Linked DNA regions of Drosophila melanogaster. The protein of the gene in region 1 interacts with the protein of each later gene in a pairwise test. Each region holds a gene or a part of one and is shown in the gene's direction. Other genes may lie near its edges. The genes, in order: tou and DNAlig3.

Evidence for each region.
Region 2: the proteins of tou (region 1) and DNAlig3 interact in a two-hybrid assay, tested with the Drosophila melanogaster proteins (one large-scale study listed by BioGRID).

The regions. Positions count from the first base shown.
Region 1 is NT_033778.4:11,613,030-11,617,882, reverse strand, and holds the start of tou (toutatis), read left to right. Parts: upstream 1-1,837; 5' UTR 1,838-2,304; intron 2,305-4,853. Other genes in the region: Egm (enigma), read left to right, coding at 43-367, 429-953.
Region 2 is NT_033777.3:12,398,494-12,404,100, reverse strand, and holds DNAlig3 (DNA ligase 3), read left to right. Parts: upstream 1-2,310; 5' UTR 2,311-2,355; coding exon 2,356-2,707; intron 2,708-2,781; coding exon 2,782-3,574; intron 3,575-3,662; coding exon 3,663-4,829; intron 4,830-4,892; coding exon 4,893-5,001; 3' UTR 5,002-5,090; downstream 5,091-5,607. Other genes in the region: Cyp9f2 (cytochrome P450 9f2), read left to right, coding at 1-450, 508-674; Cyp9f3 (cytochrome P450 9f3), read left to right, coding at 5,226-5,431; Sol1, read right to left, coding at 1,221-1,563, 1,620-1,821, 1,891-2,310.

The DNA.
Region 1 (4,853 bases):
TATAGCTATATTTTATATAAAAATATATTTACTCAATTATAGAGACCTGGAGCTCACCCGCATCCATATGTCGCGCGCGATGTGCTCCGTTTACGCGATGGAGAGCATGCTCTACCTGACCGCCGGGTTGCTGGATGAGTTCCGTGCCCAGGATGTGACTCTGGAGAGTGCCATAACAAAGTACTTTACCCTGCGACAGGTGTACGCCATTGCCTCCCAGAATCTGGGAGTCGTGGGACCCAAGAGTCTGCTCAGCGGTGAGACCACGGAGCTGGGACTACGAGATGCAGCGCAGCTGTGCACGCAAGGTGAATCCCTGGACACCTTGGGCATGTTCATTGCCCTCACCGGATTGCAGCACGCGGGGGTAAATTTCTTGTCCATTTGATACTTGTGTAATGGTACTTAAAAACAAAAATTTTTTTCAGCAAGCCATGAATACGGGCGTGCGAAAGTCCAGAAATCCACTCTTCAATCCTGGTCACATTTTTGGTAAATTCCTGGACAACAACAGCATCGACAATCCCAAGACCAAGATGCAGCTTTCGGAGCACGTGCATCCCTCCCTTGAGGCGGCTGCCCAGTGCATTGAACTGTCGGTGGCGCGTCTCCAAATGGCCGTGGAGCTGATGTTCACCAAGCACGGCAACGCGGTGGTGGAGCGTCAAAGTGAAATGCAGCGCCTGGCGGAGGTGGGCACCCTTATCTATGCCATGTGGGCCAGCGTGGCGAGGGCATCCCGATCGTATTGCATTGGACTGCCGCTGGCGGATCATGAACTGCTCACGGCCACAGCGATATGCTCGGAGGGCAGGGATCGCGTCCGCACCCTCTGCACGGAGATCTATGGCGGTCATTTTGTGAACAACGACAACAACCTGGTGCGACTCTCCAAGCAAGTGGCCAAGAGCAAGGGCTACTTCGCTGTTCATCCGCTGACATTTAACTTCTAAGCCAAGCTGGTAGTTAAGTTTATTATTGCCTTTACGATTAAAGTGAATACTTGTTATTGATAATTCGCATGTGTTTAATCTCGTCTTGAGGGTTCCAAAAGGTAAAACACATTTGTGGATTATTTTCCGGGACACAATTTGACAACTAGTTTTTATATTTTATATTTCTAATAATTCACGCAAATATTAGCCAAAAAAAAAACTAAATAGACTGATTGACGCAATTGTTCAACATATTTTTAAGTAGAACAATTTTCTTAAAATCCCCCTAAGCCATCACAAATAATCCAGCATTCTGGGAAATCAGCGTGAAATGTCTTAATCCGTTGAGTTTACCACCTGTCCGCCTTTTCCGCTGCACTGGGAATTGGATTTGCATTTCGTTTAAGTGGTTGAACTGGGCGAATTGATAAAGAATTGACAATTTGCTAAGCGGCGCAGGAAGACGGCCAAAAGCGGTGTGAGTGTGTGAGTATGCGGTCTCTTCGTTCATGAACGTGTGTTAGCGTGTGTGTGTGTGGACAGGTGGTAAAATAGCCTGTACTGTACTTTCAACGTAAAGCAGCTAGCTTACTTAGAGTACTCAGTCAATATCGGGTCAATCAAAATGTGGTTAAAGGTTTTGTCTAAACAAGCGCAGAATTCCTAATAATTTGGATGACTATTAAATGATTAATAGATAGAACCGTGTGCAAGTGTGCGTGTTTGTTTGTTTGTGCCCACAACTACACAGCAAGATTTGGTTTCATGTCCACTTGTTTCGCCGCCACGCTCTCGCCACTGTTAGTTAACATAGCTCTGCCAGCGACTAACATGCACTCACACTCGTGCAGCGGCAGCACTGCAGGCAGCGAAAATCGAAGAGAGTAGATTCATAAAAGAGTATCGGTTTCTCTATCGAAGCGTTCGGACGTCGAAAAGATAAACCCCAATTTAAATCTAATCCATCTGCGAGCAAATTAAACAACAATAATGATAGATTCTTAAGCGGCGCGCACATACGTGTCTTATTAATCGATTTTGATGTTTAAAAAATAATATAGAAAGTTGAAGTGAACTTGCAAACCTCGCGAATAGCTGGAAATTTGCGCGTGTGCGGGTGGAACAGTGACACTCGTGTGAAAATCATCGCTAAGGAAAAGGCGGATAATATAAAGGAAAAACGCCCGCGGCGAAAATTATTCCATTGGTGTGAGTGTGCAAAAAAAAGGAAGAAATATCAAGAGCAAAGAAGTTCGAGAAATTGCTAAAAATTAAGTGTGTTTGTGCTTGTGTGAGTGGGTGACAAATGAATGGGCAGCAAAAAGACGAGAAGTCAATCAGCGATAAGCAGTTTAAACAAACAAAAAAGGTGAGCTAAAATTTAAAGCTAAATCAAACTCATTTATATGTAATACAAAGTGTATAAATATAAAGTTCACTGATGAAAAATTAAATGATTTCACCCTTAAAATATTCCCGTTGAGTTCAATACAACACCCCCGCCCCCTTTTATCAGCCCTCCCCACTCCCCTTCCCAATTTCAACCGCAAACAAATAAAATAGGCAGAAAACCGAAGCGGATAAAAAAGAGGAAGAAGCGAAAGAAGTAGCGTCGCCGATTTCAGTCCTTCATTCCATTTCATTTCGTTCCACATGCTTTTGCTGCCCCTGTGATGTTGTAGTTGTTGTTGGTGGTGCCTTTGTTGTTCTTGCTCTTGTTCTTGTTCTTGCTGTATTTCGGCGGTGACAGTGAGCGTGAGCAATGAAGGCGGCGAACGGCGAACTCTGGAAATTGCCACAAGCAGTGGCACACGACGCGGCCAACAAACACACACACACGCATGCGAGCATACTCTGCTGGCCAGAGCAAATACAACATACAGTGGGACTTTGTTTGGGCGGACAGCATGGATAGTTGAAATTAATATATTCCTTTTCAGTGACAACTTAAACAAGAATCTACGTAAAATACTTACTTTTTGCACCAAATAATTACCATTTTTAGCAGTTTGTAAGAAAATGAAATGTTTATAATTCCACTAATCTTTTGAGTTTGCAGTGATAACCGTGTAAATTGAACTATTACAATCTTTTTTTTATTTATTAAAACTATTTTTTTATTTATTAAAAAAAACACAATTTCTATTGATTCGATTACTGATAAGTACTCTATAGCGATTTATGTATATTTAAGCAATTAGTGCTAGAGATCAAGATGAATACATTTATTTTAAATGAAAGATTCAGGTTAAAGAACTCTTGATGACAAAAAAAAATAAATATTTTAATTTACGAGCTTTTAAATTTCACATACTAATCATATAGCCATAAACTAAAACCGGGGAATTTTGAGTAGCCAATCTTTACTGTACTCGCACGAATACAGTGACAAATGCAGGGGGCAGCGAAACACGACAGCGACGGCGGCAGAGGCAAAGACACCTCGAGGAGTCAACTCACCTCTCGAAACCGATTCCTCTGCTTCAATTTTTTCTTTTATTTTCCTTTTTGCGCTCATATTGTAGTTTAATTTTTATTTTATTTTTTTTTAGCCCGCCCTGTCCGCATGTGTTATGCGTGTGTGTGTGTGTTGGGTTCACACAAATACAATTCATCAGCGGCAGAGAAGTCGGCGTCGCTTGTTGTTTTTGTTGCTGGTGCTGCTATTATTTGTTGTTGCTGGTTCTGCGCGCTTTTATTTGAGATTTGCGCACGAATGGCTTTTGCTTTTGCTCTTGGAGTTGTATATAAATTGTAAAGCGTGTGGGGAAGGGGCAGCTGCAGAAGGTGGAGGATGAGGGGCTTTCAGGCTAGTTTCGTTCTAGAGTTCGCGAGCACACAAACACGCACACACAGTCACGTACATACGCTCGACAGAAATACGGGTACACAACATAGAGAAAAAATAAGGAGAAAAAAACAAGACTGCAAGTGGATTGGGCTTTGAATTTTGTTTTGTACACTTTTCCCTCGGCCCTGCTCCTTCGTCCTTCCTTCTTTTGAGTGAATTTTTCACCTCCTTCCCTACCCAAATACTGCTATTCCTTAGCTTTCTTGGCATATTTCGCAATTTCCCCTTCGCATGTTAATTGCCGGCGTTGAACTTTTAGTTGTTAATCAATTTGGTTTGGCTGCTATTTTGCCTCTTTTCACTTCTTTGCGTTGTTTGTTTTACAAACACACATGCCGCTGGTTTTTTGTCTTTTGTTTCAAATATAGCATTTGATTCGGGAAAAACTACAATTATTTCTATAATGACAAGCTTAGGATTTTAAGAAATACAGTTCACTTACTAAATTGGAAATACATATATGCCGGTTTAACTCAAAATAAATGCAACTTATCGCGAGCATAGTTTATATAAAATATATTAGTAATTAAGAGAACATACATACATACATGTACATATATGTAAGAACTGTTTAAAGTTTATGTTAGATTGATCTATTTATGCTAAAAGATTATTAATAGCCAAAGTTAACATTAAAGTCATGAATGCAATTGTTTTGTTTGCTTGCAAATCAATTAACTTAGCTAATCAAAACATTAACTGCGTCTATTCAGGACTTCTTCATTTGTTTGATTGCAATTTCCTCTTTGCATTTCCGATTCCCTTTTTGGCCAAAAAATTAAAAGAGGTGCCAGCCGCCAGATGTCGCCACTGTTGGCTGATTCCGGCTGCTGCTGCCGCTGCTTCTTCTACTTCGCTCTGCTTTTACTCTGCCCGCAAATCGATTTCGATTTGGTTCCGTCTCTTTCGCACACACCCTCGACTTCTGGCTGTGTGTGTGTGTGAGCAATAAGCTTAACATAAATCATTATAACGGCACATACAGGAGGGACCTTACATGTCACCCCAACCCCCAGTCCCCCCTTGCGCCCACAACCGCCCATTTTTCTGTATGTCTGTGTTTGTAT
Region 2 (5,607 bases), on another chromosome or scaffold:
TCGTGTTCTTCTTTGCTGGCTTCGAGACTTCGGCGGTGCTGATGTGCTTCACCGCTCACGAGCTAATGGAGAACCAGGATGTGCAGCAGAGGCTATACGAGGAGGTACAGCAAGTGGACCAAGACCTGGAGGGCAAAGAACTGACCTATGAGGCAATTATGGGCATGAAGTATCTGGATCAGGTCGTCAACGAGGTTCTGCGAAAGTGGCCGGCGGCAATTGCCGTCGATCGAGAATGCAACAAGGATATCACCTTCGATGTGGATGGCCAGAAAGTCGAGGTCAAGAAGGGCGATGTCATCTGGCTGCCTACATGCGGCTTCCATCGTGATCCCAAGTACTTTGAGAACCCTATGAAGTTCGATCCGGAACGTTTTAGCGATGAGAACAAGGAGTCTATTCAGCCATTCACATACTTCCCCTTTGGCCTGGGTCAACGCAACTGCATTGGTAAGTTGATTGATTCAAAATTGTTCTTCGAAAAAATGTAAAATGTATTTATTATAGGTTCCCGATTCGCTCTACTTGAAGCAAAGGCTGTTATCTACTATCTTTTGAAGGACTACCGCTTTGCCCCTGCCAAGAAATCCTGCATTCCACTAGAGCTCATTACTTCCGGTTTTCAGTTGTCACCCAAAGGCGGCTTTTGGATTAAACTTGTTCAAAGGAACTAATCTTATAAACGATCAAAATAATAATATGTTTTGTTGAATGTTATGTTTTAAAGAAGTTGACATTATTAAATTTAAACAATTAATGGTAATTTGTTTCTTTGTTTTTAATTTATACCAAAAATGATAAAAAGATAGCATATACTTATGTCGTGACTCTACAAAACTGAATCGAACAGGTAAAGATCGATTGCAGATAACAACGAGTGGCTCGTTTACACGGTAACTCTGATAATGAAGTTGAAATTAAATAAATAATTTTTACCAGAAACTATTGAAAATGAAAATGCTTGGCGGAGTTTTTATCGATGATATCACGTTTAATTTACATCCTAATACTTAAAATCCCTCAACTTAAATTGTTAGTTCTTGAACTACTACGCATAAACTTCGATAGCCAACATGAAATCGATTGCTTTTAAAACGATAATTTGGCCAAGATTAAATATTTAAATTTAATGAAGTTGTGTGCCATTAAAATAGAAAAAAATTATTAAAATTTATTAAAGAATTAGAAAACAAAATTTCGAAATATTTTGTCTCTATATTTTAAACATAAGATTGGTATGCTTTATAAGTGCATAAGATACATGCAATTAATTTGTTTACATTTGCAACCGGCTGAGTTGACGCTGTTGAGACGAAACTCTGCATGGAGGCATTATCCCGAAGATCGGTGATGGAATTATTCACTGAAACGGTTTCAAAGGTGTACAGGGCGCGGAATCCGATGGCCACAAAGCGATCATTGGAATGCAAGGTGACTCGAAAGAAACGTCCATCAGAACGCATTTCAAAATCGGGAAGCTTTCCGCAGTATCTGCTGAACTTTCGATCCGTGCTCATGAAATTGGAAAACTCGATGTAATCGCTGGCGGTTTGGTGGTCACAACTGCACAGAAAAGGGGATTAAACATTTTTAGGTGATAGTTTAGATAAAGATCTTACCTTCCAATGCCCTCGATATCGAAATATGTGAAGTGAAGCACAACTCTTTCGTCACTTGCTCCGTAGAAATAATAATTGCACACAACATTTTCCAGGTAATATCCGGGAAAATTCGGAGAGTGAAATAGGCCACTTATTCGCTCGCTGCTATTGTAGACAAAGGAACATCCTTCCTTTTGAATCCCCGACATGATACCAAAATCTTGAAAATAAGCCAATTTTTAAATAAATATCAGTCTTTATTTGATTAAGACTCAGTGGAAACACTTACTGGTTAAGAAACGGTACTCCGCGCGAAATCCGTAGTATTGCACCTTGTTCGTCATTGTGGGCGGATATTTTCCGACAAACTGAAGGTGTAGCTGCTGTCCACTGGACATCAGTGGCTTGGGCAGGAAGGCGCCGCAGAGCAGTTCCTGCGTCTCGTACCGTCCACGCAGCTCGGTGACCACGTGCAGCGCATCGCCCGGCTGGCAACCCGTGGAATTCTCGTGCTCCGTAGGCACGTTGAAGTCGTGGAATCGAATCTGCACCCGTTCTGGCGCCTGAGCTTCAAATTCGTAACGGCATTGCAAGACTCTCGAGCCGCCAATTACAACGCCGCCGAGCGCGTGTTTGGCGAGCAACAGCTGATTTGAGTCAAATATTCCCGATTTATTTACTCGTGAGTCGAAAGTCTGTTTGCATTGTTCTGTGAAATAGACAACCACATTTTTAATTTGCAATTAGTGTGCGTATGCTATTGTCCAGGCTAACGTGGCAGGCCAGGATTCTAACTCGTCTTCTGTGTAATAAGATGGCCAGCAAGGGATTGCACAATGAGGACAACAAGTTGGACACTTTCCGTCGCATCTGTGATGAAATTGCCGGCGAGTCAAGTTACCTGAAGAAAGCGGAGAGACTGCAGCGATTCTTCGAAAAGGGGAGCAGTGGCAAGGGCTTCAAGGGCGACACCGTGCTCTGGGTGCAGTTCCTCATTCCGGCGGCCAATCAGCGCGTCTACAATCTGCAGAACAAGGCGCTGATCAAACTCTTTTCGCGCATTTTTAATGCAGATCAACAGCAAATGCATCTGGATCTAGAGCAGGGCAAGTTGTCATTTTTCAAGAAACTTCCGACACAAACTCTTGTTGAGTCTGGTCTAACTTCTCGTTTCCCGTAGATGGCGACGTTTCGGAAACTCTACGCAAGCACTTTGCTGCTTCTAAGAAACTCAAGCCGCAAAAGCAGAGCAAACTCTATCTGCAGGAGGTGGAGGAAATGCTCCTGCACCTGGTGGAGCGTACCAAAGAGGATGAGCAAACAGATCTGCTACAGAAGTTGTGCTCGAAGGCCACTGACCTGGATCTGCGCACCTTTATTCGCTTGGTGAAGCACGACTTAAGAATCAATGCCCGAGCCCGGCACATCCTGGATGCTTTTGGTCCTGATGCCTACCCCGCATATCAGTCTTCCCGCGATTTGGTGGCAATTGTCGAACAGTTTGCCACCAAAGAAAATAAAAATTATGCTAGTAGTCCCGTTAAGAAGACTAAGAAAACGAGCTCGAGTGCAATTCAGGTAATGACACCCATATCGCCCATGTTGGCCAGTCCCTGCAAGTCGGTGGAGGACGCCTTCAAGAAGAGCCCCACTGGACTATATAGCGAGATCAAATACGATGGAGAGCGAGTTCAAATCCACAAGCAGGGCAACGACTTCAAGTTCTTTAGTCGCAATCTAAAGCCTGTGGTGGATCACAAGATACGGGCTCTGAAAAAATATATTCCGCAAGCCTTTCCTGGCGGTGGCGAAATGATACTGGACTCTGAGATCATTCTGGTCGACACTGACACAGGAGCACTGCTGCCCTTTGGTTCGTTGGGTGCCCATAAGAAGCAGACTTTCGCCAATGCTGCTGTATGCTTATTCGTCTTCGATTGCATACTGTATGATGGCGAGGATTTGACCCAGCTGTAAGTGGGGTAAGGTTGGGAAGAATATAATTTGTAAGATAATATTTAAAAATGAAATAGTTCCTAATATATTATCTGGATTTTTCAGGCCATTTCGCAAGCGTCGCGAGATTCTTGAGCAGAATATTCAACCCATTAAATCCCACGTGCAGCTGTCGGAGTCGGAGTTCCTCAAGACCACGAGGGAACTGGCCGCGATGACGGCCAGGGTGTTACATGCCAATCTGGAGGGTGTGGTCCTAAAGAGTCCAACCAGCACATATCAGCCCGGCAAAAGGAACTGGCTTAAGGTCAAGAAGGATTACCTATTCGACGGAAAGATGGCTGACACCGCGGACTTGGTTGTTTTGGGTGCTTGGTACGGATCAGGGAAGAAAGGTGGCACGCTTAGTATTTTTCTCATGGGCTGCTACGATGCGTTTGGGCGTTTGTGGAAGACAGTGACCAAAGTGCACTCTGGCTTGGATGATGCTACCAACGCAGAGGTACATAAATCACTAATCAAACTAACCGAACGTGCTGATGCCAACGCAATTCCCAGTTGGCTGTTATGCAGTAAGTCCCTTGTACCAGATGTACTGGCCAAGGATCCGATGAAAATGCCAGTATGGGAGATTACTGGCGCAGAGTTCACCAAGTCCGATGCCCATACCGCGTCTGGAATCTCAGTACGATTTCCCAGGATTACTCGTCGTCGCAGTGATAAATCAGCCAAAGAGGCCAATGATCTGGCCCATCTAGAAGATCTTTTCGAGGCCTCAAAATCGAATGTAAATGTTGATTTACTTCTGGCCAATTGTAGTAAAGATGAGACAGCAATGAATAACAAAACAACTCCTGAAAAGGAGAAAAAACTGAATGGCAATCAATCAAATGGTAGTAAGAAATTGAAAAGGTCCAATACTGGTTCTGATGACGAAGACGGAGCTCCTGTGCTCAGCAAACGCAAGGAGTCCAAAGCGATTCGAAGCTTGTCCCCTTCGCAAAAGGGATTAAAGGATTTTTTTAAGCCCAGCAAGGAGTTTAAATCAGTTGTGAAAAAGGAACCAAAGGAGGATGAAGGCAATATTGAATCCACTAGCTCGAAACCCCAGTTGTTCGAAGGATTGGTGGCACACTTTGCCATGGAGAAGGATTCAAGTAAACTGATGCAGCAGTTTTCACAGCATGGAGGATGCTGTACAACAGAACCACAAAAAGCTGATCTGGTCTTTTATGCGAATACGAACGAGGCATTGGACCTAGAGAAGCTTAGGTAATGTCTAGATGATCACTTAATCTAAAAGTAAACTTAATTCACTGGCTTCCTTTTTTTTAGAACGCTCTATCGTCGTAGCTGCCGGCACTTGAATGTAAGCTGGCTCCAAAGCTGTCTCGATACTCAGAGTCGTCAACCTTTTCCCCTACACGCCGTGATGATGAAATGATGAGTGGTATTCTAAATCGTTTGCACTCAGAAATTTGTACATGCTTGATTAAACCGAACACACATACATATGTGTGTATTATTGACAACAAGTATTTTATCAAATGCTAAAAGCAGAGCAAGAAGCTTTGATAGAAAGCTCTGCGTTGCGACAACGAAATGCTTCCGATTGTTTGTTAGTTATATTTTGGACGCTTGGATCGTCAGACTAGGCGCTCGTTCAACATGCTGTGGGAGTTCTTGGCCCTATTTGCGATCGCTACCGCCTTGTTCTACCGCTGGGCGTCCGCCAACAATGATTTCTTCAAGGATAGGGGCATCGCCTATGAAAAGCCAGTGCTCTACTTGGGCAACATGGCCGGCATGTTCCTACGGAAGAGAGCCATGCTGGACATAGTCTGTGATCTCTACACCAAAGGCGGAAGTGGCAAGTTAGTTAAATTTATTGATCCGGATTTAATAAGTTAATTACCTAATAAGCATCCGGGTTACTTGCACTTGCACTTGAAACTCGATTGGAAGAAGTGTGTATCTACTGGCCTCCAGCATTGCGTACAAGCCTATATAAAATCGTATGTCAAGGTCAGGCAATCAGTGATCTATCCAT